Linked DNA regions of Rattus norvegicus. The protein of the gene in region 3 binds, or shares a complex with, the protein of the main gene of each other region. Links are inferred from orthologs where the notes say so. Each region holds a gene or a part of one and is shown on either strand. Other genes may lie near its edges. The genes, in order: Ctnnd1, Cdh26 and Ctnna1.

Region 1 (10,112 bases), on a different chromosome or scaffold from region 3:
AACATCTCAAGAACCGTCAAGTTGCATCAAAGCCTCTACTTTTTCCTGAAAACACCTACCAAAAAAAGATTTATCTTTCTCTCCCCCCCATTTTATATAATATACAGTTTCAATATACCATTAGCCTCATACACACAGCAATATATAATAAGGATTTACCATCAAGGGTGCTCCCTTCAATGGCTCCATATCACCCAAATCCCCAGATCGGTCCAGTGTTCTGTTGTGGTCTCCTCTCTCATTCAGTGTGGAATAGTTGTTATCTAGAGAAAAAAGTACACAGAAATGAGAGATCCCTTCTAGTATACAATGCATGTGAATTAGGCACCCGATTGAGAAATGAGCTGTTTCAGATGCTCCAACAAGACATTAAACGCTGATACTTTTTAAGACTTACACGCAGCTTGAGTATAAGGGGGGAGATGATATATGAGATATGCCCAGTACTGGGGATGTACTTCAGTGGTAGAGTGGTTAGCCTAGACTACCCACCATTGGGAAAACAACAAAGCAGTAACAATGAGAAACAGTGTATCCTATGGTGGTTGATACTAAAGAGACCTGGCCTGCTTATATACAGCCCTGAAATTAAAAGAAGACAGAGAAACATGCTACAATTGGAAGGAATTGATAATGCAAAAACAACTTGAGTTTAGCCTTTGGGAATGAAAAGAATTTAGAAGAGCAAAGGGGAAGAACATTCCAGTAGAAGGCTTCATATAAAGATTTTTAAATAACTCAGTAATGTGTTGAGTGTCCTCTTGTAAACCTACAACTGCAGCAACTGGAGGTTAAGGGAGGAAGATCCACAGATATTCAAGGTCATCTTCAGCTACAGAATAAGTTCAAGGTCAGTCTGAGATACAGGAGAACCTAATGATAAATAAAATAGAACGATGGGATAAAATAGTAAGTAGGAAGGAGGCAAAAGAAGTCAAGGTCATCCTCAGATAACCTGGGCTATGAAATCCTGCTTAAAAAAAAAAAAAAATCAGTAGAGAGTAGAGAGGAAGAACAGAGAGGGACAGGGCTAATTACACGCCACACAGAAACTTTATGAGAACATATGTGGGAAGAGGATCTATCAAGAAGTCAAGGTCAGGGGGCTGGAGTGCTAGCTCAGCAATTAAGCACACCTGTTGCTCTTGCGGAGGGCCTGGGTTCATTCCCATCACATACTTGGTGGTTCACAACTATCCCTAACTCCAATTCTATGGATTCTGACGTATAAGAGCATGGGCCACCTGGTAAACAAACATACACGCAGGCAAAACACTCATACATACAAAATAAAATAAATTGGCTAGGCATGGCAGAGTCTCAGCACAGGAGAGGCAGAAGCAGGTATGCCCTGGTGAGTTTAAGGTCAGTTTGATATACAAAGCAAGTTTTAGGACAGCCAGGAATATACAAAAAGATCTGTCTCAAAAAATAAATTTTTTTTCTCCTAAAACCAATTTTTTTAAAGTTCAAGTTTGTCCCATCCACAGTAACATATAAAAATGTAGAAAAGAGTAGATTGATCAAATTTTATTATAATTTCAGATATCCTTTCAAATGGAGATAATCAATCACTATACTTCTGGGATGGTTGTTTAGGGGGTAAAAGCTACAGGGGAAAAACAAAAAGAGCCAGGTACAGTGGAGCATATTTATAATATCAGCACTTGGGAAGTAGAGGCAGGAGAATCAGGAGTTCAAGAGCAGACTCAACTGTAGGGAGTTCAAGACCTGTCTATGTGACCTGAGACCCTGTCCCAAAAGAAAAGAGAGAGAGAGAGAATGCCTACTCACCCCAATTAAACACTATTCTGCAACATTAGACAGGAACTCTTTACCTACCTAATGATTTTGTGTTTGACCCCATATTGCTCATTGGAATTTCTTCCCGGTCAGGTTTCTTATCTATATGGAATTAGAAAGTTATCCAAGTCAAAATGCAATACACCAAAATCTGTATAAAGTAGACATTTCTTTCTAGCATGCCATCTTTCCTTGCCTTTATTCAATACAGTTTTACTCAGCACATACTATGTGCCAAGACTAATCACAACCTACGGTTCTAGGAAAGCCCTTGCAGAACTCTGGTCCCTTTCCTATAGACACCCAAATACAAGAAACATTTCAGAGGCATTTGTTGTCAAGCCTGATGGCCTGAGTCTCATCCCTGGAAACAACCTGTGAAGAAACTGAGCCCTTCGAGTTTTCCTCTGACCTCACACCCAAACTAAATAAACAAAGAAATAAATGGGGGGTGGGACCTTCAACAATATGGGCCCTTACATCTCAAAGCCCCTTTAGTCTTAAAGATTGCAAGGTTCTAGGCTAAAGATGTAGTTCAACAGTAGATGAAGCGTTTGCCTAGTCTTCTCACATATGAGGTGAATGAGGGTGTAGGAAATGACTTCCATTGGCGTGGAATAAGCAGACTTTACTATATTCAGAAATGGAAACATCTATTCCACATAAAAATATTTTTTCCATAATCATAAGCACTTTCAATTTAAAAAGCATTGTGTGGGGGCCGCTAAGGTGGTTAACGGGCTCGAGCACTCGCTGTGCAAGCCTGTCAGCCTGAGTTTGATCCTAGAGACCAGATATAACTACAAGAACAAGCTCCCTGGTTGCCCTCTAACCTCCACTTGAAGGCCACCATATGTGTGCCCACGACACACATCACAGACAATAATTAATTTTTAAATTAAAATAAAAATCCAAGGTTGGGAACACTGTTGAACATTTTTATATACCTCTTTTAACTCTGGGTTAATAGAAGAGATAGAAGTAGAACTTAGTCTCATAATTTTAGCACTTAGAAGGCAGAGGTAGGGGTCACTGTAAGTTCCCAGTCCAGGCAACTGTGGAGCCCATGGTAAGACCTTGCCTCAAGAAACCCACAGAAAGTAGATGGGGTAGTCTGTCTTGCCCTTGTATGGCATTTACTTATACAGATACACAGATTTTTGAAAAGTATTGGTACTGTCTCCCTGCAAAATAACAGTTTACAGAACTATGCAAATGTTGTAAAAATTAACACATTTTATTATACATGTGTATTTATCTTGACTTATATAATCATAAAAGCCATAAAAATGGTTTTATTATTACACTTTGTGTGTGTGTGTGTGTGTGTGTGTGTGTGTGTGCGTGCGCGCGCACGCATGGGTATGAATGTGCACATGGGAGGGAGAGAGGGAGAGGAGAGGGAGAGAGAGAGAGAAGGAGAGAGAGAGCGACCATGTATCCGTGTCCATTCATAGCATGACACGGATACAGTGGTCTGAGGACAACTTTCAGGGGTCAGTTCTCTCTCATGAATGAACTCAGGGTGTCAGGCTTACTGGCGAGTGAATTTACTCACTGAGCCACCTTGATGGCCCTAGAAAAAGCCTTCTAAGTATTGGGATGTTACTAGGCTCAGTAACATGGGTATGATTTTCCCAATTATACTTTTCTTCTTTCGGATTTTGGGGTTTATTGAGGCTTTTTCAGGGGGCAGGGTCTTATTCTACAGCTCAGGCTGGCCTTGAACCCCCTATGTAGCCCATGCTGGCTTTAAATGAAGGGCAATCTTCCTGCCTTAGCCTTCCAAGTGCTGGGATGAGACACTACACTCAGCCAGAATTATATTTTTCACTCAGGTAGCAAATACTGTCAGTTTTTTCAACAAAGTAATAAAGTTTCTGTGTTTATTTCTGAGGGAATGCTTGCCAAATAACCATGTTGAAATAATCATCACTTGTGTGTCAGCTACTTCATTAAGTAAAATAGTACTCTATAAAAACTGGCTAGTCTAATTAGTAATACCAGTAGTCTGCCTCAAGATAATCACAGTGGCTCCCTGTGGCGCAGCACAAGAGCTTCACATTTCCTCATTAACACTACACATCTAGGGGATGTGTACTTAGGGTAGAAATATAATAAAATATTACAGCTCCATCAAGGATGCTCCTAAATGGAGATGGCTTTTTAACTGAGGAGTGCATGGGAGTAAACCCAACTAGTTCAGGTCAGTGTCACCATCTCCATCTGTGTTGGCCCCGGCAGCACGCGCTGCTTTTATGTCATCAGTGCATATGTCCAAGAATCTTGGGGCTCTCACGCCATGCTCCAAAAGCCATGGGTGGAATCAAAAGGTAAAAGCCGTAAGATAAGAAAGGTTACGGTACATACTTTTAGTGAAACAAATATATAAAATACTAAATATATAATTCATCTATGATAAAGTGGTTTAAAAAGCTCTACCTCAGGGAACACACACACAAAAAAAAACTTGCCAAGAAAGACATGGATTCAGTCCCCAGTACCACAGCAACACAAAAACACAATCACACACACACAGAGCTATAGCGGTGGTGTTTTCTCTAGGGACTAGAAATAATGGACTTTCTGGTTGTCAGTAGTTTTTATTTTTTCCAACTAGAAAAGCACTAATAATTAACCAAGCACATTAATAAGTATCGGAGCTGGGGACCGAACCCAGGGCCTTGCACTTCCTAGGCAAGCGCTCTACCACTGAGCTAAATCCCCAACCCCAGTAGAACAGAAATTTAAGAGAGAGATTAAACAGAAAACTGATTCACCCTCTAGTAACTTGAAGTTCGCAGGCAAATTAAAGAAGCCACACTCGGTGGCTGGAGGTGGTTGTCCTTTAGGACACTCTAACCAACCAGCCACCCAGCCACCCCCTTTCCTTTCCTCTTTCCCACTTCAGGTCCTTCTCTGATCACCCTGCCCCAGTTCCCTGATAAAAGTTTATTTGTGACAGAAAAAAAAAAAAAAAAAAAAAAGCCGCACTTCACGCTACTAACTACCTTGATTTTGGTTTTACTTTCCCTTGAGACAGAGTGTCATGTAGCCAAGGTTGGCCTTGACCTATTACTGACCCTCCTTTTGCCACCTCAGAGTGCTGGCTGGGATTACAAGTGTGCACCACCACACCTGTTTGATTTCTAAATTCAAACCTATTCTCTTACACAGTACAATCCGGATGCAAAGCATTACTCCCACACTCGGCATCTAGCTTAATTAGAAATAAACACATATCCTATTTCTCAGTTAATAAGCCATTAAAGAATGCCAGGAGCACTAAACAGAGAAAGCTGCACCCCTTGGTTATAATACCTGATTTTTGGTTCCGGTCAATGAGGGGGAGAGTGCTATCATCATATGAATGGCTGCTCTGGCTTCTAGATGCATTGTTTAGATTCACCTAGAGACAAACATAAAACCCAGTGTCATAGAAACCTGGAGAGATTCCTGGCCCCTTCTCCTAACCATGTACCTCCCACTTCAGGAACCCTGAAAGAGCATGGGTTTCCTTCCCCATGCTCACCTGCCTTAGCCCTCACACATTCTTCCTGAAGGGCTTAGATGCTAGGTGCCTACTGACAGTAACTCCTCAGAAAAGACTGAGTCTAGGCAGTAGTGCATACCTACACTGCTAGTACTTGGAGGACAGAGCTAGAGGGAGCAGAGAACAGTAAGCACATGAAGGGTCTGAGTAGACAGGAAGCTCACAGTGGCCATACATTATCACTGCTCTCTACCAACAGCATCTACTGTATGTTCAACACTGAGAGAGAAGAACTACTTCAGCAAAAATAAACTGTGAGCACCACAGTTTATAATAAACTGGATTAAAAAGTAGTGTGGCAAGTCTTTACAATCTAACCAAAGACAGAGGCACTAGCCAAGGAACAAAAGAGAAGAAAAGTCAAAGCTTCAGTCGAGAGTTATTGCACCTGGAAGTCTGATTTCTTCCACCCCTCTTTTTCCAGTGGCTTCCGAAGCTCCTTATAGCCCCAGATTGTCTGCAGGACAAGAGCTGCTGCCCGGACTTCTTTTTCTGAGCGATTCCTATGAAGGAAAGTAACACCATACAAAGTTTAGTTTTCAGACCAGGGATCTCAGAACTTTTACTCTCTAACAAAGTGGTTTTCAACCTTCCTAATGCTGCATATAGTTAGTTCCTCACGTTATGGTGACCCCAGACATAAAATTATATTTATAGCTACTTCATAACTTGACACCCACAGGTTGAAAACTACTGCTCTAACAGCACAAGGATATAAAAATGTAAAAATGGGTGAAGCCAAATTTCACCAACTCTTATACTGTATGAAACACTGACATAAACTACTTTGATGTAACAGTCCATACCAATTTACAGACCGACACTAAGAATGAAAATAGAGCAATATCTCTCCACATGTTATAGGAAGAAGTAATCTCACAGAATGGAAGAGAAAAGTTATTTTCTAAAAACTCTTCTTCAAACTCAAATTCTCTTAGCTGTGATTAAGAAAAAGCTCACCCTGATTTGTTGATCAACACCAGCTTCTCAATACCCTGGGTCTCTCGAAGCTTTTTGGCGGCTTCCAAGTTCTCAGCAATAACTTCGTTGATGGTGTTCAATATAGAGACCACGGTGTCTTCAGAGAAATTCCAGGAGGAGTTCTGTTGACCTCCTGGCAGATTCTTTACCAAGTTAGGAATAGCATGTTTGCCTATAGCAGTAAAACAAAAGGTCAGAAGGAGCCTCACAATACACTTGAGAGTAGTAATCAGGCCAAGTGTTAAGTTCTAGTCATACAAATTAACTCCATTATTACTAAGATTATTTCAAAGGGGGCAAGAACATGAGACAGCCATAAACTCACTGCCATTCATCTATTTCCTCAAGAGCACACAGACAATGAGATGCTGGATATCAAATATAGTCTGGTCTTTCCAGACACAGTAATGAAAACAGTACATTCAGTACTATCTTATGATAATCTGTGGGGCAAAGCATTCTTTATGAATTTAAAAAAATTCAACTACTTGGGCTCTGCCACTAACTAGTTCAATTCTGGGCAAATGAAAAAAAAAAAAAAAAGAAAAGAAAAGAAAAATTCTTAACAATGCCTAGAGATAGAGAAAACAGATATTCAACAAATAATAATGGTTATAATGTTTTGGAAGAATCATCACTTCTTGCTTTTGTAAGATCCACAAAACTATGAACCTTCAACACTCAGAAATATAAACTATGAAGGATTATAAGATCCTTCTCCTCAGTGATGTCAACAAATGACTAAACGTTTGCTGGATTCCAGGCACTGTGCTAGGCACTAGTTCAAATCCTTACCAATTAACTCTTTGTTCCGAGCATCCACAGCCAGATTTCTCAGTGCCCCAGAGGCAGCTTTCACTACTCGCTCGTGTTCACTGGTCAGGAGGTCAGCTATGGCAGAGAGAGCCTTCTCTTGACGAAGAGCAGAGCGGATGTATCTGCCATACTAGGAAACACATGGGAAGCGGTAAAAAGATTACAAATGGTAGCAAACTAGTTATCTACACTCCCTATCTCCAAATCCATTTTCTTAGAGGTACTCACTGTCCAGCGCCCAGCACACAAGTTCTGGATAGCTCCAGCCGAGGCTTCTAGGATGGCAGGTGTCTTGCTCTCCTTAAGGAGTGAAATGTATATTCGCACCACTTCTGGCTGAAATAAGAGTTCATAGCCTGCACAGGAAAGGGCAAAACAGAAATCACTAATCAATGCCTACAAACCAGGCTCTGGCTGCCTGCAGTTCTGCTTCTCCATCATCAGGCCCCTCGAATTCCCTATCAGTCATGAGCAAATTCAGAGGCTTGATTTCATGTCTGTCTTCTCGGGTTTTTGTTTTGTCTTTTGAGACAGGGCCTTGCAATGTCAAGCAGACTGGCCTCAAACTCATAATCTTCCTGTCTTAACCTGTGAGTACTAGGACAACACATGTACCACGGATCTCTGTGAGTTTGAAGCCAGCCTGGTCTACAGACAAGTGTTCCAGGAAGCCATGGTTACATGGTGTGGTGCTGACTCACAAACAAAAAAACTACTACTAGCCCATGGTAAAAAAGAGAATAGACAGCAACGCAATTATATTCAATTCCTCTCTCCTTTCTCCTTGACTTGTACCTCATAGCTAACTTTAGCTTTGTTTGTTCCATAAGCAACCAGGCCTAATGATTCAACATCTGAAACAAAAAATTATTTCTAATTTAACTCAATCATTGTCCCCATCATGAGTATGACTAAATGATAAACAGCCTGAGATAACATAATTTAATTATCAACCTTTATATTTATAGAAAGCTAGCAAGTTTATATTCATTAATATACTGGATCCAAACATCCAAGCTGAGATAAAGGCATTTCTTCTAACAGTAAGGTTCAAGATCCAAAAACCTGCAGTGGCCATGCAGATAGCTAAGTCTCTTTTCTTATGTTTTTCTGAGGCATGCTCTCCCTGTGGATCCCAACATGGCTTTGAACTGATAGCAGTTCTCCTGCCTCAGCTACTCAAGTACTAAGGTTGCATACATGCACCATTATACCCAGCCTAGTTTCTAGCTCTAGACTAAATACTTGTGAATGAATTTTCCCAACACTTTTACTGTCACTTCAAATCTACTCAGTCAGAGAGAAATGTTCACATAGTGCATAAAACATGTTACCATATCCAAATTCTCTAGAGACAGAGAATAAGGAGGGTAGCTTACCCCGAGCAGGACTAGTTCTTTTAGGGAAATCCACTGTATCATTTGCTGGATCCTCGGTAGGCTTTTTCCCTATGAAAATGGAGAAAGGGCGGAGAGAACAGGGTAAAGAACTTTTTTTTTTAAAAGGAAAGATTCGACCTGACAGTTTTCATCCTTCAGTCAGAATCTTCAGATCATAGATGCAGCATCAAAAGAAGCAAAAGAAGGGAAAGCCCACACATAACTGTCCCAACAGGGATGATGCAGAAACAAGGAGGACCAAAACAGGCAGTAAACTGTATAAAAGGAAGGCCACTCCGGATGCTGTGAACTCAGTTCTGATAACATGGACTGCTGTCCAGAAACAGCATCTCAAAACCACAACCCAGAAGGTTTAAACTGATTCCAATGGTTCTCCTCAACTAAGTTTTCCTACATGCATCCACAGGGAAGGGTTAGACAAAGAGATATTAAGAAAGGTAAGAACCAAACCATGCAAGTTAGCAGACAAGCGCCTTAAAAGATTGCACTTACCTCTAGAGAACCACTCATCTTCCAGTGCATCACCAAGGTGGAAAGCGAGGAGAGAAATGAAGGAAGAAAACGCAGGAGAAAGATGTCAACAGGATCATGGGCAAGTACACAAGAAAGCAGAGGAGGAGGAAGAATAGGGAGGAAGGCCCCAGTTTAGCTCAGTTCTTGTCATTCACTGCCCTAGATGCCAAAACACTAACAATCATCACCATCCTCACATCACTACCACCAACCACCACCACTACTACCAACAACCACCACCACCAACCACCACCACCAACCACCAACAACAACCACCAACAACCACCACCAAACAACAACAACCACCACCAACCACCACCAACCACCACTACCACCAACCACCACCAACCACCACCACCACCAACCACCACTACCACCAACCACCACCAACAACAACAACCACCACCAACCACCACCAACAACAACAACCACCACCAACCACCACCAACCACCAACCACCACCAACCACCATCACTACCACCACTACCACCAACCACCATCACTACCACCACTACCACCACCACCAACAACAACAACCACCACCAACCACCACCAACCACCAACCACCACCAACCACCATCACTACCACCACTACCACCACCACCACCAACCACCAACCACCACCAACCACCATCACTACCACCACTACCACCACCACCACCAACAACCACTACCACCACCACCACCAGAGCAAAAGGACACATCTCCATAGGGAGACTTCCACACTATTTATTAAGTACCTATAAAGCTAAGTGTTCCTCTTGCCCCATATTAAAGAATAGGAACTAGATAAGACTCACCTTTGCCCTTCTTGGCCCCAAAGCAACTGGCAGCATGTGGCCCAGTACTGTTAGCCACACTAGGAAGTGCCTCCTGGTAACGCTCTGCCTGTGGGATTTCACGATGAACTTGATATGATAAGTTCCGAAGGAGGCAAACACAATTCTCCACAAGCTTAGGGACATAAAAGAAAAGGTTCAGTTGGAAAAGAGAATGCTTATGATGGTTTCCAAGAAAATCTAAGTCTCCATGATTTGAGTATTAAA
Region 2 (10,658 bases), on a different chromosome or scaffold from region 3:
GAGGAGGGTAGACATCGGTCTCCTCTCTTCCTAGGAGGGGATTTTGGCAATACTGACACAATGAGCTCCCACCTTAACTCACGCATCTTGAAGGGAGTCGGCTTTTGAGGGAAGCCCTGGTAGAAGCCAGCGTCGGCTGTAAGCCTTCCCAGAGTCCTTCGCAACGCCTTCCTAAAGCCACTTCTGACGTCGAAGCGGGTGCCTCTAAGGACGCCAAACTGCGGTAGTCGTGGCGCTGGGTTAGAAATGGTCCTCTGACATTAGCCAAAGTCACCAAATCGGAGGTATAAACTCCAGGCTTAGACTGTGTGTGAAAAATACAGTTACTTGAGCAGTTGCTCCTCAGTCATCCACTAGGTGGTGACCAAACCTTTTGAGACCCTGGTGAAATCTGTTACTGTCTTCTAACAGAGCAAACCTTTGTAGTGAAATCAAAACAGAACGGGAGAGCAAAGGAACGCTTAGCTTCCGACACAAAGCAGGTCCCTCACTCACCTGTCCTCCTCCGCCACAGATTAAATAAATTCTTAGGTGTGGTTAACTACAGTGGGGGGTTCTCCGGTGTTCCTAGAATGTTCCCTAATCACGAGGCCCTGCCTAGCAGATGTGAAATGACATCATCATCTATAAAATCTTGACAGAGAAGCCACCTTCACAAGACATCAGTAAAGACACCCACACTTATGTGTAATATTTACTTAGCAATAGCAAGACTTTAAATATACGTAGAACGTTGAAATGGATTGCTGTGAGTGGGATTGTGAGGCTTGGATATTTTAGACTCATGGGGCTCAGGGGCTTGAACAAAGGGGCTCAGAAGCGAGACCTTTCTGACCCATTCTCTGTACCCCTTCTCCCTGAGGTAAGCCATAAAAGCTAGAACGGGGGACAACTGGAAACTGGGAATACTTTTCTCTCCTCCCATGCCCTTTCTATTTAAGATCTGGCTGAGAAGACAGTCTCCTGTTCTTACCTCAAAGACAGAGCCCATTCCAGGTGTCTCACATGAGCACTTCCACAAGGCTGTGCAGGCTTCCTTACACTGAACAGTAGCCTCCTCCCCTTCCCCTGAGCCATGGCGTCTTCTGAAGGCTCCTGGTCAAGGAAACTGGCAAAGCTGTTGTGCTTTTGCCTGTCAACTGTCTTTTGTCACATGTGTACACCCAGACCCTTACTTACACTGGGTGACCACAGGATCACACCTTTCTGCCTCTATAGAGAAACTGCAACCTAAGTATCACAGTGGAGCCTGTTAAGCCCTAGGTGTTATGCTGCTCATGCCTAGGACCTCCCCAAACAATGGGACTTCTGCATTTTATGGAGCCTTGACACCCTCAAGCTGGAGATGCCTGCCTTTCTAGTGCACAGGTCCTGTTGCTGCTGCTGCAGAGGCTCTGGCTTTAGATCTCAGGAATCACACAGTGGCCCATCATTGTCTGTAACTCCAGTTCCAAGGGATCTGGCCCTTCCAGCTTCCCTGGGAACTGCCCGTGCACATGGTGCTCTTGTATGTAGACAGGCAAAACACGCATACACATTAAAGCATCAAAACTTTTTTTTAAAAAAAGAAGAAATACGTTTCATTGAGAACTTGATATGGGGGGCATCACCTTGAAACCTCTTTAAAGCTCCTTCCCTCTTTTTAGCCTTGTACCTCCCCTTCCCCCCAAAACCTCCCTCCAAAACCTACTCAGACAAATGACTGGAGGGTCTGATAGTTCTGCCAGCGGTGTTGTTAGTGTAGAAACATAAAGGCAAAAGGTGAATAAGAGGGCAGGGTGGTGGGTGATGGTTTTATTGGTAAAGCATGCAGACCTGAGTCTGATCCCAGTACCTATGTGAAAAGCCAGCTATGGTGGGCACACTTGGAAACCCAGCTCTCGGCAGGGATTGGGAGGTAGAGGTGGGTGGATTCCTGAAGCTCACTGACTGGCCAGCTATCGAGGTGTGGGCAAGCATCTGGGATGAGATCCATTGTTAGTGCTGCAGGATGATATGAGCATCTTCAAACCCAAGGAAGGTTGAAAGGTATCCAGTCATGGGTGTGAGCACCCACGGCTCCTTGTGCTCACTCCATAGCTACCAGGCCGCCTCACCTACCCAGGCCCCTCTTGGCTGAAGCCTTCCACAGCAGATTCCCTCTGGGCACCAGCTGAGCTGTATCTCCCTGAGATATCTCTGCTTTGGGAGGCTGTAGCCTTCCCTTGGTGGCCAACGTGTACACCAGACTCAAGCTTTCGGATCTACACTGCTGTTACTGGAAACAGCGCTCTCCTTAGTGCTTGTCTGTTTTATCTGTTTTTGGCTGGGGAGGCAGATCAGTCAACATAATGCTTATCACACAAGTTCGAGGACCTGAGTTTGTTTCTAAGAACACACATAAAAATCCAGGCATTGGCTGGGGCCATGGATCAGTGGGTGAAGGTGGTTTCTGTCAAGTGCAGTGCAGTGACCTTCAACCCCTGAGAACTGGAAGGTGGAAGAAGAGAACCAACTCTCACAGGTGGCCATCTGACCTCCACATGCATGCACGCGTGCGCACGCGCACACACACACACACACACACACACACACACACACACACACATGATAAATATATAAATGTAATTGAAAATTTAAGTCACTTACGGTGGCATTAGCCACCCTAATGCTGGGAAGGAGAGACAGGAGGATCCCTGGGACTGGCTGGCCAGCATATATGGTAATTAGCATGCTCAAGTGCAATGAGGAGACCTGTGCAGTGAGAAATGATGACCAAGGTTGACCTCTGACCTCCACACATCCATGTAAGTATGCCTGCACACAGACCTGCACTCACGGGGACCCATGTCTCACTGCGGCACACCAATCCCTCTTGAGATTCCTGAGGAGTCAAGCTTTGCCTGTGACCACGAGAACCAAGCATTGAACTCAATGATTGGCTGGATATGAGTGGCCATTCCTGGAAGTCTTGATCCAGTGAATTCCTAGCAGGAACCATTTTTGATTTCCCAACCTTTCAGTCTCTCAGTCATCCATCTTGCACACATTTTCCTTTAGTCACTTGGGTTGGCTGAAGGAGTCCAGTTTATGAGGTTGATGACAACATGGATGGAAGTCAAATCTCTGTCTTCTGGGTAGGCTGGACCCTCGTGTGCCCAGCCTGGTGTTCTACCATCCATTCCAGCTTGAAGAAGGATGTGGTTTCTCACTAGGACATCTCTACCCTGTTTCCTGGAATTTCAAGGCTCTTTTCCCTCAGAGCCTGAGAATGGAGAAAGGAGGATGTTCAACGTTTCTCTGAAGCAGTGCTTCTGGCCTTCTGCTCTGGTGGAGAAAGCACCATCATGTGACTACACAGCTATTTCTGTGCTTCCAACCCCACTGAGGAGTCCTGGCTTGTTGTTACCAGAACCCCACGTGTTTAAAAGCATATTCCCTAGGGTGAATGTGCATCAGTTATGGCTAAAGCCTGAGACGACCACAGCCCAAGGAGAAAGGCCAATCCCCAAACAGCATTATTTCAATGTAGAACAAGTAAAACTAGAGCCATTGCCTAGCATCCCTGGGGTTCTTTCCAGAGCATTGCACTCACAGCACTATCTACATCTAGCTTAGGACACTTGCAAACACTGGATTTAGGGCTCTCTTCTGAGGCCTCCCAGGATGATCTGAAACTCTCTGAAACTCTCTGAAACTCACACAAAGTAAATCCAGTCGTTGTTACCGATTCCCTCCCTACGCAGAAGGCACCTACCAGCCTGCCACAGCGTTGACGCTTTCAATGCAAGAGGGTCCGACGAGTACGGTAACCGTTGAGCACAGATAGTCAGCTTCAGCTCACGCTCTGAGAGAGCAGGACGCTTACAAGGACTGCTGCCCGTTTTGCCCGCTGAAAACTGGCCGTTACTTTAGGCAAGATAAGGAGATAACTCACGTATTAATAAAGGTTGTCAGAGTCCAAGTTCAGGCTTTGCTTGAACATTTGCAAGCCTGACAGGTGATGTCATCGAATCCCAATGTGGTCCTTTCCCAGAGCCTAAGTCAAAAGGCCCAGGTTTTCCCAGAGACTCGGGCTAGGGGTTGGGGTCAGCAGTCTCCATATCTCTGCCCACTCATTCTTTAACTCCATCAATGCTCATAAGAGGTTTAGGTAGAAATGGTTTTATACCCCAGAGCCCAGATATGCTTGGCATAAAGGTTTTGTAACATGCACTGGAGAGTTATAATTTATTTTTCAGTGCTAGGGGCAGGAGGAAGCCGGGTCTTGCCTGTGCTTCCAGGTAAGTGCTTTACCGAAGTCACACCCCAAGTCCCCTTCCTTTCTTTCTTCCCCACATTATCTTCCCTGGGTATAATTGTATGGGATTCCAGTGGAGCGTGGGCACCCTAAGACAGCTTTCTCCCCTCCCCTGTGCTGCTTATTGCTGTGTTCAGCGCCACCCACCGGATGTCTGGCCCAGCAAGGGTCCAGTTAGAAAACAGAATGGGGACTGACAGGCACACTGATTGAGCCACCATCACCATGGGCTCTCCCTCTTTTTCTTTCTCTCTTGCTCCCCCACCCCCTGGGGAACTCTATATAATTTCTTGGGGTTGTTTTTCCAGTTTCCAGCGACTATAAGAACGATTAGATGTCCCACTATAGAGGGATTATTGGACTTCTATTTAGAAACTAAAAACCAACCAAGAGACGGAGAAACAAAACCCGATCTTCCCATAGGCGCTGGCTTTCTTTCCTCCGGCTGAGCTATAATCCCCAAGGCCGGATGCCCAACCACTTTTCTGTGTACACACATAGCTTTGGTGTTTGTATCGGAGCACCTGTTTCCCTAGAACTCTGTGGCCACAGACGAGGTTATGCCTCATCCGTCAGCCCACCTTCTCTGATAAATGAAGGCTGGGCGGAGAATAAAGGGTGCAGCAAAGTCAAGTGTCATGTCTTAAGTACCCGAAGGGTGACTGGAAGCAATGTCACTGGTTGGAGAGGAAGTGCCTGGCTCCTGGTGAGGCTTCCAGACTCCAAGGACTCTCTGGTGCCCAGCCCAGCATGGACACCAGCGTCTGTGCCTGGTTACTGCTGCTGCTGTCCTTGCCACAGGTGAGCTGAGTGGGGGCCGGGATCTGTGCACAGCATACGTATATGGGTTTTTAATTTTCTAGGCTAAAGGGATTTGTCAGGGCAACTTGAGCCTGGAGAGAAGCAGGCATTCGGTGGAGACAGGGGGCTGGCTGTCTTTGTAGTAATATAGGCACACAGGGTTCCAGGATGTAGGTAAATGTGGGGTTGAGATCCACATCTTATGGGGGAGTGGGGAGCAGCTGAGGAACTTGATGCCAGTTTATGAAACACACACAGTTTTAAGTTAGATCTTGTCACTTTAAGAACGTTTCCCTACAGTGCCTCTGCCCCCACTTGAAAGGGACTGAGGGGACCTCAGTTAAAAAAATCTTAGGTTAAAGACAAATGTAGCAAACCAGTGGGCTACTGAATAACCCCACTGTGACCAGAAGGAGAAAAACAGGGGCTCCGCTGGGCTAGTGGTGGTTCAGCCTTCCTTTTGGTTTTCATAGTCAATGACTGAAGGGGGCTACAATCGTGAGTCACTTGTAAGACTTCTGCGGGGCCAGAGTCTTGGGGGAACACAGAACACAGCAGCAAACACAATAGGAGTTCCGTCTTGACACGCTTACACGCTAGCCTTGGCACGCTTACATGCTAGCAGAGCCCTGCCCCAGTTTTTTAAAATGGATGCCTTGCCTAGTACCAGTTGCTTGGAGTTACGAGAATTGTCTCTGTTGCCTTTTGCCGTGTCAAGAGTTGAGCTTTTAATCAGAGCATTAATCTCATCTATAGTGTTTCCTAGAACCCTGCTTTATTACCCCACATCAGCCTGGATTTGAGTATATTGCAAATCAAATCCTTTCTCCATCCTCCCTGTACTTGCACCTACCCCCAACTCCTCTCTTAAGGAAATGGCAACATTCCCCGCTCGCCTCTGTTGTGTTAGCACAGTGCCCAAGCAATTAATTCACCTCTAAGGGGAAGTGCAGATGCTGGTGTGGGGAGGGGCGGGGGAGGGGAGATCCTCCTGAGGATGGTACCTTGGTGTTTGTGTTTGACTGATGGGACTTTATAGACCCTAGGGAATTCTGGTACTTGGGAGCAGGGGATTCTGAGGAATCCGGGGGTTTCAGTGAGGACAACGCAGGGCGTTTTTCTTGGTGAAGAACCGTAACTTCAGCAGGTACAGGATCACTCTCTAAACTGGCTGAGAGAAACACAACCCTCCATGCCTCCCAGGTTCCTCCAGATTCTGCTTGCACCTCCCCCACCCACACCTAATCTCCACCAAGACAGCCTGTGATGTTCTGCTGGGGGGGTGTGGTGTGTATCGGTTTCTCTCTGAACCCCACACCCTTGCTCTGTTTTTTAGTTTTTATCAAGCTCTTTGAGAATTTCATCCATGTTTGGTCATAGTCTCCCAATTATTCCCAGATCTAACCCCTCTCCTCTTCCCACCCAGATTCAAGTACTTAAAAAAAAATCAAGATGATTTTGTGTTGTCCAAAAAGAAAACCTTGAGTATGTGGCCTTCCACTAGAGCGTAGTCCATTTACCAGGGCTATGTTCTTATTGAAAACAGAATTTCCCTCCCCAGTGGCTAAAAATTACCAACAGTTCCAGGACTCTGACATGAAGCCAAGTGACAAAGTCAGAAGTGTGTTCTGTAGGCTAGTGGCCTTGTTCCACATTTGGTGACACCCAGTTTAAAGCCATCCTCCTGGTTGGTCATTTCTAGTCCCAAGAGCCAAAGAATCCTCAGGTTGGGTTGGGCAGGAGTTAAAGGCTAGAGGGGAGAGAATTCTTCAACAAATGGAACCGGAGTAGGAGGAAAGCCTGGTGTTTTGTGGTTGATGATGATGATGATAGTGGAGGTGGTAGTGGTGGAGGTGATGGTGGTGGTGATGGTGGTGATGATGGTGGTGGAGGTGGTGGTGATGGAGGTGATGGTGGTAGTGATGGTGGTAATGGTGGTGGTGGTGGTGATGGAGGTGATGGTGGTAGTGATGGTGGTGATGGTGGTGGTGGTGATGGTGGTGGAGGAAGAGGAGGAAATGGTGGTGGTGGTGGTGGTGGTGGTGGAGGTGATGGAGGAGGAGGTGGTGGTGGTGGTGGTGGTGGTGGTGGTGGTGGTGGTGGTGGTGGTGGTGGTGGAGGAAGAAATGGTGGTGCACTGCTAACAACCGTGCTCGGCTTGCTGAAGTCACTGGAGCTTCACCAGGAATGAGAGACTGGAGTGCTGCAGAGGTGGATAACAGGGCAGTCTGAGGTGAACCTTAGGCTCCCTGGGAAAGAGCATCCAGACTATCCCAACAGCAGTGGCTTCCTATTGGGACTTTCTGCTACCATACATGAAGAATCACATATTCAAGTGGTTAAAGGCAGAGAGTGGGTTGGAAAAGCATGTAGCAAAAGCTGGCTCTGAACTAAGAAAAATGTGTGTTCACAGTCAGAGAGGCCTGGTGTCTGCAACTGTACCAGCAGCAGGACCACAGTCCCTCTGGTAGAATCCTTCAGAGCCTCTTCCTGGCTCTTCTGCTATTGCTAAGAAGGCCTGCAACTACATCACCCCATTCTCTGTCCAGGCCATTGCCAGTCTCCTTCCCGGGTGTCTGCTTCCTCTTCCTGTCATTGGATCAGGGCCCACGAGGACGTCTTCACGGCAGCTTGATGAAACCGAAAGACATCTTAGTTTTGAGATGGTGTCCGCAGGTTAGGACTTCTGCATACGTGTTTAGGGATGTCACTCAATTCCCAGCAGAGGGACGAGAAGGGACAGAAGTGCTCACTCCAGAGAATGCCCCAGTGTCTCTCCTGGAAATATGGGGACTCTCAGTCCCAGAGGTGGGCACAGAGGGCTGGAAGGCTGCAGAGGAGCCTGGGAAGGAAAGAGGAGGGGGAGGTATGGAGAGTGAGCAGGTGCAGCGTTTTGTTGTCTTAGGGGGTCCTGAAGAAGGGACACTTTGGGGAACATGAGCTAAAAGGGTCGATTTTGGTTAAGTTGAATCCAAGGGGACCATGTGATATAAGAGGAAATAAAGGTTTCAAAAGGCCAATACTTGGATACTTGGCCCTTCCTGTTTGAAGTACAGTTTTACAGTGAGTGTGTGTGTGTGTGTGTGTGTGTGTGTGTGTGCATGTGTGTACGTGCCTGTCTATCCGTCCATCTGCCCATCCATCCGTCTGTCTGTCTTGTGTCTGGGTGTGCCCTACCATCCCCCGCAGGCCTTTGCATGCCTAGCCATCCATGTGGAGTCAGGAGAGCTTTCAGGAGCAGGTTCTCCGGGTCTATCCCATGGGTCCCACTGGTAAGTGGAGGTCGGCTGGCTTCACACCTTTGCCTGCTGAGTCATCTCACTGGCCTCTTAAGCATTTTAAGAAATTAAATAGTAAAGAGCTGATAGGTTCAAATCATAAAGTCGTGCTTACCAGGTACCATATAATGATCCTATGGTTGTGTGCATTGCACAACGGTCAAATCAGGACGGACTTCCATCACCTCAACCTGTTAGCATTTCCTTATGGCGAAAACATACAATATCCTTTCTTCTAGTGTCTGGAGCAGGGAAGTCATTGGGCCCACAGATCTCCAGGGAAACCAGGAATGTTAAGTGCACAGGATTGTCTTTTCAGTGGGAAAGATGTAAAACCTGCTCTTCTATCCAGAAAGCTGGGAACTGACTAACAGCCTGGTGACCTGCATTATCTGTTGGACCAGGCCGTATCACCCTCTCACAGCCAGATCCTGAGATACCTGATAGTCTAAATAACCCTTATATTAACTGTACAGCCAGGGGCTCTCCCAAGCTCCCACAACCAGGACCAGACATGGCTAACAGCCCAAATGGTCTCTACACTATCTGTATGACCCCAGATCCTTCACTAGACCCTTAAGCAGATACAGGCTCCACATCTCCAGGATCCATCATTTTAGAAGAAATGGCATGTACCCCGCGTTGAGCTCTGATGTACGTATGTTTCCTCAGGCACTGGGGATTGTATTGCACAACCTCCCCCCCCCCAAAGTATGTTGTGTTTAAATATATTGGCAATAAATCACCTGGCACCAGACTCCCCAAAGTTTGATCCAGGTTGACGAAGTCAGTCTGAACTGAGTTAACTCTTCTCGCAGTTCATTTCCATGCCTGCCGTGACGCCTGCAGAGTCCCCCTCATTCCGGCTTTCTTAAATGTCCTTAAGTGATTTGCATGCTGTACATCAAAAACACGGTGATCCGCAGCACGGGGAGGATTCTGTATGTGCAGTTGTATGCAATTACTCAACACCACGCAGATGAGAGTCAGACTCAGGTCAAACCACTTGCCTGCCATCATGCGGCTACTGAAGAAAGGGATGGGGTTGGAACTCGGGCCTGACTATTGTCTTCTCTGTGCAGAGAAGGCAGCCATCACCGGTTATATGTGGCAATTTAAACTTTGCTTGAGTCTAATTTAAGACTCAATTCCATATGTGCATGCTCGTCTTCCAACTATTCAGTGAGAGCTACGTGGCCAGTGGCTGCCATACTGTAAAGTGCCTGAATACTCTATCCCCAGGGTGCCCTCGGACTGCCTGTTTAGAGCCCAGAAACTGGACAGACTGAAGGCCAAGGAACCTGTGTAGAAATGTCTTGTGGGAATTTAAAATGCTGATTTCTAGGACTCCAAATCCTCCTTGAACTGACATGTACATTAAAATTTTAAATATTCAGACCGGAACTATGGCTTGGTTAGTAGAGTAATTACCTAGCACACACAAGGTGAAGGGTTCTATTCCCAGTGTCCTATAAACTGGAAATGAGGGTTGCAACAGTTGATGCCTGGCATTGTGTAGGGGAGATAGGAGGATTAGAAGTTTTAGGCCATCCTTGGCTATGTAGCAAGACTGAGTCAGCTTAGGCTACCTGAAACTTTGGAGAGAGAGAGAGAGAGAGAGAGAGAGAGAGAGAGAGAGAGAGAACTAAGACCCCCAAATAGAAAATGTTCTTTTTGAAATGCTTGAGTTCTCTCTCTCTCTCTCTCTCTCTCTCTCTCTCTCTCTCTCTCTCCCCCTCCCTTGTAATTTATTCTGGGAACTTTTAATTCTCAAAAGATATCATTCCCCAGCCCCCAGGTAAGCTTGAATAGTATGGGTGACCTGGCCCAAATCCAATCTCACTTGTGAAAGGGCATTCAGGGTTGGAGGGGCAAGAGCTTGCCTGCCTGCCAGTCGGATAAAACAGCCTGAGGTAGGCTGCAGCCGGGAAGTCAGCCTGGGGACAGTCCTCTTAGCACTGCAGAGAGCATTATGCAAATTGCTGTGAATGGTGTCCTTTTGGGAGGAACAGCCTCAATTGTCCAGGATGGAGGTGTAATAAGCGCTCTTACAGAGTCATTTTGGCAGCAGGAACAATTTTGAGTCCTCTGCATCATGCAGATGAGCCATTCTGAAGCTGCACAAAGAGAAGAAAGGGCAGACAGGGGCTGCAGTGCGGGCTTCAGGTACCTCTCTGGCAAAGTGTAAAGCTCCCCGCCTTAACTCCCTTTGAGGATGTGATTGGCTTTTCCTGCCTGTTGACTGGGCACATTTGCGCTATTAGGACAGAATGAACCTACAGAGTTGGAGTTTGAGGCAG
Region 3 (10,522 bases):
GCTCTTCTAGCCTCCCAGGATACCAACCACGTATCAAGGCAGAACTCCCACACACAGAAAGTAAATGTTTAAAAAAATTAATGGCTCTATTGGATGAAATAAACAAACAGGCAGTGTTTGCAGCACAGGTCTGACGCATAAATGGCGGCTGCTTACTGTTTAGTTCCGTGCTGGAATGAAGAACACAGGCCTGCTCTCCGGGGCCTCTAGGTGTGTGTGGTGGGGGACTCTCAGGAAGGGCGCCCTTTAGCATCTGAAGTGGGCTTGGTGGAAAAGTGGCAGAAGTGAAGCTTTGAGGATGGTGGTGGTGGAGTTTAGCATTAGCGTGTACACACAACCATCACTGACCCCATTGCTGCCTTTTATTCAACAATCATCTTGGTTTTCTTGGAAATGAGCCTCGGTGATAAAGCCAGGATTCTGTCCTCAGCATGCACACAGTTTCTCCTGTTTGATTTTCACTAGTCCTTTGGCTCCCAATGACTAGTCCTTTGTCCCAATGCCCCACATATCACTTTGTACTCAGCTCCTCAGGCTTGGTTTCCTTTTTAAATTACATTATTTTTTGTGTGCACATGTATTGAGACCAGAAGACAGCTTGTGAAAGTCAGTCCTCTCCTCCTACCATGTGGGTCCCAGGGATTGACCCCAGTTCTCGGGCACCCCTAACCTGTCTTCCTTGTCTCATCCCTCTGCCTGAAGTCTCTTAGCCCAGGACGTCCACACCAGCCCCAGCTTCAGTCATTGAGCAGTCTGCTGTTCACATCACTTGTCCTGTCTCCCACTGCTTGCCCCCTGGCTCAGTCACCTGAGCTGGGATCCAGCCCGAGAGCCAAGTTGTTCTTTTACCTCAGTTTACCCACACTTCCAGCTGCATGTTCCCACTGCACTGCCTCACAGGACCCTTGCCTGTTTCTAGTCACCATGATCGTGCCGGTCACTCGTAGTCAGCCACATAGTTTACTCAGTTTGTGCCCATTATTCCTGTTCGCTGTTAGGATAGGTGAGTGGAGAGTGGAGGAAAGAAAAGAGCTCCTTTTCTTGGCAAGAACAATTCTTAGGACCCAGTTAGGCCTTGAGCAGGCAAGGAAGCAACGTCGGCTGCTGTTCTGGGAAGCTCCTTAGACTTAGCCCACCAACCTACACCAGTCTGTGGCCAGAGCTCAGAGGTGCTGGGCAGGACTCGAGAGTCACACACTGACAGGATCTTTGCGGCTCTGTAGTGCCTTGTGATCCCTGCCCAGTACTGTGCTCACTTCTCTAGACCCCATGGATATGGCTTGGCTTAGGGCCTACCAGAGATGAGGGCTCGCTGCCCTCCTGTCACAGGCTGGCCATCTGGGCTGACACCAACCCCAGCTGTTCTGCCTGCTGGCTCTTCCTAATAACTGTTTCAAGTCAGGAGAGGCTGCTCATATGTGCAAAGTATGATTTTTACCTAAGAACTACTGTAGAGGACTACACCAGCAGTCAGTCCCTTTGGTATGCACTGCTATGTTCTCTTGTCCTTTGACAAAAATAAAATTAGACTTTAGGAATAACACATTGCTTTTTTTATTCCTCAAAATAGCCTTGGCACCCAAAGAGAAAGCCCAGCATTAATTTATGTTCTTGTCATAAAGTAAGCATTTATGAAATTGCTTTATGTTGTGTAAAAACATCTCTTCTTTAAAAACTTTGAGCAAGGATGGTTTTTACCTTCATGTGCAGATGTAGATTCCTTGGGAAATTGTATTAAAAGTGAAATCTCTGTTACAACAAGCCCTGATTCAGAGGTCAGCCTGACTCCTAAGTCCTATGTGAGGACTAAGGGGGGGTGAGGAGACACTACTCTCTGGTAACCAGTGTCTGCACCCTGGGCCTCGGTGCTGCTGGGCAAGGGCTTGCACTCAGCCGGAAGCATGGCTGATTACTCGGGTCTTTCCTTTGGCTGCAGACCCCCGAGGAGTTGGACGACTCTGACTTCGAGACTGAAGACTTTGATGTCAGAAGCAGGACCAGTGTCCAGACAGAAGATGACCAGCTGATAGCTGGACAGAGCGCCCGGGTAAGGACACAGGCTGTGGTCCTCTGCTGACTTGTTCCGGAGAGGCTCTCTGGCTCTGAGACCTGGCCCTTTTCTAGGATATTTAACTAACTATATTCAGAACGCCATTTTTCTGATGATTTTTTTTCCCTGTGGAGTACGACTAAAATCCTAGGTAATGACCTGCTGGTCAATTGTGGCTTCCTAGAAAATACCCTCAGCCAGGAGCAGGGCGGCAACCCAGGGTCCTCCCTGTACACTGGGCTGCACTGAATCAGGAAAGACTGCAGATCTACCTCTGATGGACCTTCCAAAGTTGGAAATGTCTGTTGAAGGTCCCAACAGGAAGGGTTCCACCCACTCATCCCTTTCTCTCCTCTCCTGTTGCTATAGACAACACCAAACTTGAAACTTATAAAGGAGTCAGACCCTCACAGATGTGGTGGTGGAGCCCACAGGTTAGCCTCCCATACTGTTCCCTCCACATTCAGACATGATTTTAAAAAGTGGGTCAGGAATTTAGGCTGCAGTGAATTCCTACAAAAATGAGAAAATTGCCCTTTGGGCAAAATGAAACCATTAAAGTATTATCCTACCTATGTTGTAGATTGCTGTTAGCCGTCTTGGCTAATGCACTGTGAGAACTTCCTGAGTGGTTTGCTTGTGGTTGTAGGCGATCATGGCTCAGCTTCCTCAGGAGCAGAAGGCAAAGATCGCAGAGCAGGTGGCCAGCTTCCAGGAGGAGAAGAGCAAGCTGGACGCTGAGGTGTCCAAGTGGGACGACAGCGGCAATGACATCATTGTGCTGGCCAAGCAGATGTGCATGATCATGATGGAGATGACCGACTTCACCCGGTGAGCGCAGCCCTGCAGCCCACAGAGAGAGAGGCTGAGGACTTCCCTGGGGCATAGACATCTTTTCTCCACTTAACCTCCAACCAAGATGGGATTCATAGACAGGCACCCTGTTCTCTTTTCAGAGGCAAAGGGCCACTCAAAAACACATCGGATGTGATCAGTGCTGCCAAGAAAATTGCTGAGGCAGGATCCAGGATGGATAAGCTTGGCCGGACCATCGCAGACCACGTGAGTGCCGCTCTGCACGGCCCATGGCTGAGGAAGCTGTTGATGAGCGTTCTCATGGGCCACGGCTCACCTTGGAAAATTGCTCTAAGCCACTCCATCAGTCCCAGCATACGTTCCTGAGGATTTCTCAACTCCTATTTCTTTGATGAGTTTCCAGGGTTGGGTGTGTCTATCTAAAACTTTCTATCACTCCAGTCTCTGCCGTGTTGGCTGGTTTTCAGTTTGGAGCAGAAGCAGATTCTGCTGCCTCCCTTCTCCTCACCCTCACCCAGCCTCTTGCTGTGAGCGCTGTTACAGCGTCTAGCTGGGGACAGGCTTCTCTTTCTCCTCACTGCTACTTCATACCTCCAGGAAGCCTCACAGCACTTCCCTGTGGCCTTTTTCTAGGCTTGTTATCCAAGCTTACTGTGTCATTCAGGCTGCAGGATGGGTGACATCTGTCCCTCATTACTCAAGCTAACACTTGGCAGTCATTCTTGACCACCCAATAAAAAGCCTTGTGGACAGTGTGTTGTGACAACACCTGTTCTTTCTGTCTGAAATTAGCAGCTCCATTGATCTCTTACTGCTCAGACCTCTGTGGCCTTTCTTTCCTCTGTTCTGCAAACAGCCATCAACACTGTCATCATAAAATGCAAATCACACTTGAATCTGTCCTGCTTCAGTGGCATCTTAGAAAAATTCAAAGCCTTCAGCATGGAGTATCTAGACCCCATTTTACACCACTGCGCTTCTCCCTCCCCTCCACCATTGGAAGAACAGTGTCTGTTGTGAGCACTGGAGAGTGAGTGAGTGGCTGTGCTTCCTTCTCTGAAGAAACCTAAGCACCCAGCCCCCAGCAGTCTGGGCAGAGGCCGCACTTGTCACCTTTTTGTTAATCACCTGTGCCTAGAGCTCTGTGTTCAGGGTTTATCTTGTGTGCGCCCTGGCTGAGAGGACAGCGAGCGCCTCGGCTGATGAATCACTTCTTTAATCTACATAGCTCAGCATTGTCTCCTCTGTAAGACCAGGCCCTTGCTTGCTGATGCTTACCTCACGTTATAGGGGCCAGGAGCTTCTCCCCTGGGGTGGAAACCTAGGCATTAGCACAGTAGTTGCTGGCAGACCCTGAGTTACTGAGTGGAAGGCTCAGAAAGTGTTCACTGCCTACCCCATGCAGGAGGTGGGCTCTGGGAGGGACTGTCCTGGGGTATGGCACCCTAGAGAATGGACACTCCCCCTTCTCTGCCCCTTGCTCCTTTAGGGAGGGAGGAAGCTAACACCCACGGGGAGCCTTTGAGAAATAACCCCGGGGACAGGAGTTGTCTGGGTGGGGCTGGGAGTACTCAGTGCTGAGCGTCTTTTCCTTTTCCGTCAGTGCCCAGACTCCGCCTGCAAGCAGGACCTGCTGGCCTACCTTCAGCGCATCGCGCTCTACTGCCACCAGCTCAACATCTGCAGCAAGGTCAAGGCTGAAGTACAGAACCTCGGTGGAGAGCTTGTCGTCTCTGGGGTAAGTGTCAGCGATGAGACACACTGGCCAGGAGGGGTTTGCTGGCCCGTGTCTGTAGCAGAAGTAGACATTTGTCCCTGTGCATCGCCCACCTACTCCAGACGGGGAAGGAGAAGCAGCATTAGCTACAAGGTCCTTCTTAGTTCCTCTTGGGTCCTGGAGCCCACCGGCCTCACACCATCTCTTTAGCATGGCATGGTTGGTGTGGCCCGGTGACAGCTGGAACTATTGCCAGGCCTCGTCTCTTTTGCCAGCTGTTCTTTGGAAAAGGGTGTTTTTATACCACCACCACCCCAAAAGAGTAATTAACCCAACTAAGAAATTACCAAATAGAACCGCGCCCACTGCTTTCTCCGTTTCTACCCACAAAGAGCTAAGTTGGAGCAATCCATCAGGTCACAGTCCCTGCCACTGTTCACGGTGCCCGTGCTACACAGCCTTGCACACTCGGCACTGTAAGGGATGGGGGATGAGGCGACTTTGTGTGTTGTCACCTTTTCTTTTCAAAGGCAAGTATTTGCAAGCTACATGGGTAAGAGCTGCCCTTGATAGAGCAGTAGGAGCCCCTTAAGGTGACGAGGCCCTGGTTGGTGTGGCCAGGCCACATGCATGCAGGGTTCTAGTCAGGCTCTTCACCGGTGACTCATCTGTCCTTTGTAGGTGGACAGCGCCATGTCCCTGATCCAGGCAGCCAAGAACTTGATGAACGCTGTAGTGCAGACAGTGAAGGCGTCCTACGTGGCTTCCACCAAATACCAGAAGTCACAGGGGATGGCGTCCCTCAACCTTCCTGCTGTGTCATGGAAAATGAAAGCCCCCGAGAAGAAGCCCTTGGTGAAGAGAGAGAAGCAGGATGAGACACAGACCAAGATCAAGCGGGCCTCCCAGAAGAAGCACGTGAACCCTGTGCAGGCCCTCAGCGAGTTCAAGGCCATGGACAGCATCTGAGCTCCGTAGCCCATGGGGGTCCCGAAAAGTCGGTCACATACTTCTCCACTCAGATGTGTTTGCTAAGTAGAGAGCTCTGTTGTATTCCACAGGGAGGGAGCAGATTTCAAACTCAGCCAGGTGGTGAATTTTGCAAGGACATGTTTGTGTTAAAGCTGGTTAGAAAAAAAGCTTTTAGAATTCAAAATATATTTCTAGCTATATTTTTATAAGCTTAATTGAAATAAAAATTCTGTAATCAGAGAGTGCCACATTAACTTCTTGGTCCATTTCTGAACAGGCCGGGGTGAGCACCCAAGGGAGAGGTTGCCTTTAGCCCTACTGTGGGGCAGTATGGAATCAAATGGCCAAGGGTGACCCAGGGTAAACCATGGGGCACCTTAAACTGTGTGAGAAAGAAGGTCCAGAAACCTGAGGAATAAAACAATGGATTACCCTGGAAATTGATTGGTTTCTTTATGAAGCAGAATGGGAATTATGATTCACGGCTAAGTTACTAATGTGCTCTGCTGTAGGACACTAATAGAGTTGCTTTTCTCGGGCTAGAACGTTGTGATGCTGTAATCAGAACATGCTTCCCCTGTTATTCCAGCTGGAAATGCAAATTCATCGTCGGGCTCTCGTAATAATCGCAGTGTTTCCTGCTTTGGGCTGGCTAAGGAGCCTTGACAGCAGTGTTCGCTTAGGCAATAATTTAGACTCCACCTTACTTGTGATTACTATAGCAATTACCATAGCTACAAGATAAGATTTTACTGTCTTATTTAAATTTTATGAATCTGTTTTTTACACTAATTTTCCCAATAAAGTCTATTATGAACCAAGTCTAAGAAGCAGAAGTCATTCTTTGCCTTCAAGAAGAGTCAGACTTGGGCTAATTGCCCCTCTGCCCAGGATGCCTAGGGAGGAGGGAGAGACAGTGACTGGATCTCTAGGGAGGACCTCTCAGGTTCTTGCCTCCCAGGCAGGGTAAGTCCTGTTCAGTACCCCAGCCTGAGGAGTGTCACAGCCATTCTTCAGGGTTCAAGTCAAAGCCGTGGGGGCCCTTCTATGCCAGCAGCATCAACCATGACATGAAAATGGCTGACTCCATTCCCTAGCCTTGTCTCCTATCCCTTCCTCCTACAGATTCCCTCTTAGAGATCCCTAAAGAGATGGCCGTGGACCTTGTCACCTTACTAACTTGTTCTGCCATTGCAGTCAGTGCTTATCTTGCCCCTTGTCAAGTTGACTGCCTTCCCCAGTCACACTGGCCCTACCTTATCAGACCTGCGTAGGCAAGGTCCATGGAACCCACTTCCTTACACACCTTCTCCTCTGTGCCTTCCCTCATCTGCCTGCCTGCCTGCCTGCCCCTCCCTCCGCTCTTCTGATCTTCTGATCTTACCCAAGGTGCCTGGCTTTCAGTGCCTGATACTGGCTTGTTATTGGCACTCTGCTTTTAAGTCTGATATTCTGAGATGTTCCCTCTGGCCAGGGCGCACCCGCTGCCTCTGCTCTCCATGCCTAAGGCCCTTCGGCGTTTCCACCTTTGCTTGTATTACCAGTCACATTTTTCTGGCCAAATAACACAATGAGGCTACTTTAAAATGCATGCAAGGTCTACAACTTGTGACCACTTCTGCACACTGCCCCATGGCTCAAACCACCTCATCTGTTACTTCCTAGCCAGTGTTCCCCCGAGCTTGGCCGGTGCCTGCAGATCATGGTGTTACCGCTGAAGGAAGTGAGGCTTGGGCTGCTGCCGTGCTGCCAGAGCGCGCTCAGGTGTTATGGCCAGGCTTAATTTCTTGTCACAGAAGTGCCTCCGTAGAAAAACCCACAACATGACAGCTGCCTTCCCCGCCTGGAGTGGTCTAGTGCTCTCTGGAAAGCCTTTGCCCACCATCCCTGCTGTACTGCGCATGCATTGCAGAGGTGGCTGCCCATTAGCACGTCCTGCCCTCCCTCCCTCAGCATCAGGTCAGCCCTGCCCAAGAGAGCCCAAATCTGCAAGCGACTTCACATCACAAAAGCCCAAGTCCTCAGTAATGGCTGCGTCTTGTTCCCACCAGCCTCCCTGTTCTCCAACAATCTGCACACATCGTTAGCACCCCTTCAGCCTCCCAAGTGCTTCCTGGTTTTGCCTGTGCTGGCAGTCCCTGGGTGGGGTTCCTCACGTCATACTTCACACACCTCTTGTTTGAATGGCCCATCACTGACACCCCCAGACTTCCCTGCATTTTTTGTAGTTTTTAACAGATATCACCTCAAGTTTATTTGTAAAGCTAGCAGGGGCCGCCAACCCTCTGCAGATATGTGGGAGTCTCACTAGTTCACCCATCTTCACCTTGGCAATGAACATGGTGCCTTCATACCAGCACTGGAGCCTGAGCCTGGGTTGGCAGCACCGTGACCTTTGGCCGTGTAGCAACAAAATTGCTTCCGAGGCTTAACCACATTCAGTTCCCAAGGGCTGCTAAGGTCTTCTCATCACGTTGCCTGCACCTTCAGGCCCTTGTGCTTTTCAGCAAAACATAAACTCTTCAGGAAACTGGATCGACCCTGTAAGAAATTTGCCTTTGTGATGAGTGTCTGGTGCCTTTTCTGTGCCCTTTTCAAGACTGGTTGTGTGTGTCCAGCTCTTGGACTTGGCCAGGTCTGCACTGACCAGCAGTTCACCGAGTGCCTGGGACTGAGGGAGAAAGAGCCCTTGTGTCTAACCGTGCTGCCATTAGCTCATCAGTAAATGTTCTCCAGTTCAGGCTCTGCACGCCTGGCCACACCCCAGTAGGTCAGTCCCCAGTCCCTAAGACTCAGTCCGCTTCCCAGCTCTGACGTTGCCACAGCAGACGCCAAGAGCTCACCACCGAGGCCTTCATCAGCCTGTGTCTGAGACCAGGGCCATTCCAGCTGCGTCCACACTGCTGTCCGGGAGCCCATCTCTCCCATTCCTGTCCCTTTGTGTTCTATGGTCTTGGCTGTGTCCTCTGTGGAAATATTGGAGGTTTTAGTAAAAAGGTTTTAGCAACAGAGGAAGCCCAGACCAAAATCTTGAAACCTCGTGTGTCCTACAGATCTTGTGATTCCACACAGAGCATGTGAGAGGAGACTCAGTGTGGGAGGGCGACGTTGTGAAGATTCCCAAGGAGGTGCCGGTGCCTGTCCCTTGACGTCTCTCAGGATCTACCCCCATCACCCACTGAGTCCTGAGCTGCTCCTTTCAACCTGGTGAGCAAAGGACAGAAGTCCCATGTTACCTCCCTAGCCTGTCATGCTAATTTTTTGTTATGGCCTCCCTCTATTGATGGGGTCTGCATTCCACAGTCAGCTCTGGCCTTACTAATCACTCTCCTTTGTTTTGATGCCCGGTCCCCAACTTAACCCCTTGAGCACAGAACTTCCAGGCCCAAAAATGAACCTTCCACATGGGCCAGGGCCTCCTCTCCGGGGAGGAAAGCGCTGCTATGATGACCACACCAGAGGCCTCATCCAGCCCGTAGCACACCAACATCAAGGTCTGGTTCCTCCAGCATCCCCCAGGCTCGGCATCCCACGAGCTTTGGTTGTACAGATTGCCTTCTCTAGACTTGTGGTTTCATATCCTTCAGATTCCTGCTTCCTTCCTCGGCTTATTCTTGATACCTGTGGTGTTGCCATAGTCCAGGGCCCCCCTCTGGTTCTGCCCTTCCTACCCATTCCAACATGGCAGCCTCCAGGCCTGTGACACCCAGACAATTCTTGCTGAAATGTTTAGCAACAGGCTTTCCAGGGTGGGAGCAGGCAGGCCACACCTCTCCGCTCTGCATCAGTTAGAGCTTGCTCTGTCAATGCCACTGAGGCGACTCTCACAGGAGCCTCCACCAGTTTCCGCTGCACTCTTGTCCCACAGCCACCAACAGATGACATGAATGTTTTCTGACATCTCTGCTCACCTTCGGGAAATAAATGCTAGCGCCATACCTGTTGGTCGGTGTTGCTGGGTTGGACAATGTCAAATACTATAGAGTGGTTCCTCCAGGTCCTATGGTCCCGACTGTCACTGCAATGCTCACACAGACTTTTAATGGCATTAGCACTTTCTGGCCTACTTTAGAAATGCTCTCACTCTGCGTAGCCCAGGATGGCCTGGCACTGTGTAAACCAGGCTGACCTTAAACTTTGAACGAGGCATGTCTGATGACTTCACTCTCTGAGAAGTCCAGCTTCCATCTATAGGGTGTTCCAATCCTCTGAATAGAGTCTGCCATCACGCCAGACGACTGCCCCTCGTGGACTGCTGTCCTGAACAAGCTGGGATCGATGGAATAGGATCTCAATGTTGTCTGTCACCCGGAGACAATGGGTGTGCACAGATTCAGAGCACAGCGTGGGGAAACCCAGTAGTGGGCTGAGGCTCTCCCTTTTTCTTCTCTTTTTTTTAGGTTGGGGTGGGGCCAGAGAAATGGCTCAGTGGTGATGATCACTGTATGGGTCCAGTTCTCAGTACCCACATGGTGGCTCACAAACATGTAACTCTGGTTTCAGGGATCCAACACCCATTTTTGACCTCAGCAGGCACTGGCATAAACGTTAATCACAGGCGTACATGCAGGCAAAAGGTTCACATACATAATAAAATTTTAAAATAGAACTAAAATATAAGTTAGGTTGGAATTTACATGTAATAAGACACACTCTTTGCTAACATGGGAAAGTCATACACTCCCTTGGATCGCAATAGTTCAAACACACCGTTTCCCTCTAGTGTTGACTCTACAGGTGGAATTCCTTGACTGTTGGCCTTTGCATCAGTGGCATCTGCACCGTGCGTCTCGGGGAGCCGAGCCTTGGAGAAGCCTGTGCCCTTGTGGGAATCCTTGCTGTTTTCAGTAGTGAGTAGTATTCCATCAGAGGGTGCACAGTCCCTCATTCCTCCTGTGCGGGACACTGGAGCTGTTCTAGTTTTGTTTTGGTTTGTTTTTTTTTTTTTTTTTTGGTTCTTTTTTTCA

Evidence for each region.
Region 1: Ctnna1 (region 3) and Ctnnd1 share a complex: the UniProt entries of both Homo sapiens proteins name them as parts of the cadherin:catenin adhesion complex. The link is inferred for Rattus norvegicus from reciprocal best matches to the Homo sapiens genes CTNNA1 and CTNND1.
Region 2: Ctnna1 (region 3) and Cdh26 share a complex: the UniProt entries of both Homo sapiens proteins name them as parts of the cadherin:catenin adhesion complex. The link is inferred for Rattus norvegicus from reciprocal best matches to the Homo sapiens genes CTNNA1 and CDH26.

Annotation. Positions count from the first base shown.
Region 1 is NC_086021.1:90,092,705-90,102,816, forward strand, and holds part of Ctnnd1 (catenin delta-1), read right to left. Parts: intron 10,021-10,112; coding exon 9,867-10,020; intron 9,064-9,866; coding exon of another isoform or gene 9,046-9,063; intron 8,602-9,045; coding exon 8,533-8,601; intron 7,510-8,532; coding exon 7,382-7,509; intron 7,284-7,381; coding exon 7,133-7,283; intron 6,510-7,132; coding exon 6,317-6,509; intron 5,860-6,316; coding exon 5,745-5,859; intron 5,213-5,744; coding exon 5,125-5,212; intron 1,906-5,124; coding exon 1,843-1,905; intron 264-1,842; coding exon 160-263; intron 1-159. UniProt on the Homo sapiens protein: Key regulator of cell-cell adhesion that associates with and regulates the cell adhesion properties of both C-, E- and N-cadherins, being critical for their surface stability.
Region 2 is NC_086021.1:185,893,718-185,904,375, forward strand, and holds the start of Cdh26 (cadherin-like protein 26 precursor), read left to right. Parts: upstream 1-4,713; 5' UTR 4,714-5,029; coding exon 5,030-5,080; intron 5,081-10,658. UniProt on the Homo sapiens protein: Cadherins are calcium-dependent cell adhesion proteins. They preferentially interact with themselves in a homophilic manner in connecting cells; cadherins may thus contribute to the sorting of heterogeneous cell types.
Region 3 is NC_086036.1:27,128,634-27,139,155, forward strand, and holds the end of Ctnna1 (catenin alpha-1), read left to right. Parts: intron 1-1,936; coding exon 1,937-2,047; intron 2,048-2,699; coding exon 2,700-2,881; intron 2,882-3,006; coding exon 3,007-3,112; intron 3,113-4,469; coding exon 4,470-4,604; intron 4,605-5,264; coding exon 5,265-5,552; 3' UTR 5,553-6,376; downstream 6,377-10,522. UniProt on the Homo sapiens protein: Associates with the cytoplasmic domain of a variety of cadherins. The association of catenins to cadherins produces a complex which is linked to the actin filament network, and which seems to be of primary importance for cadherins cell-adhesion properties.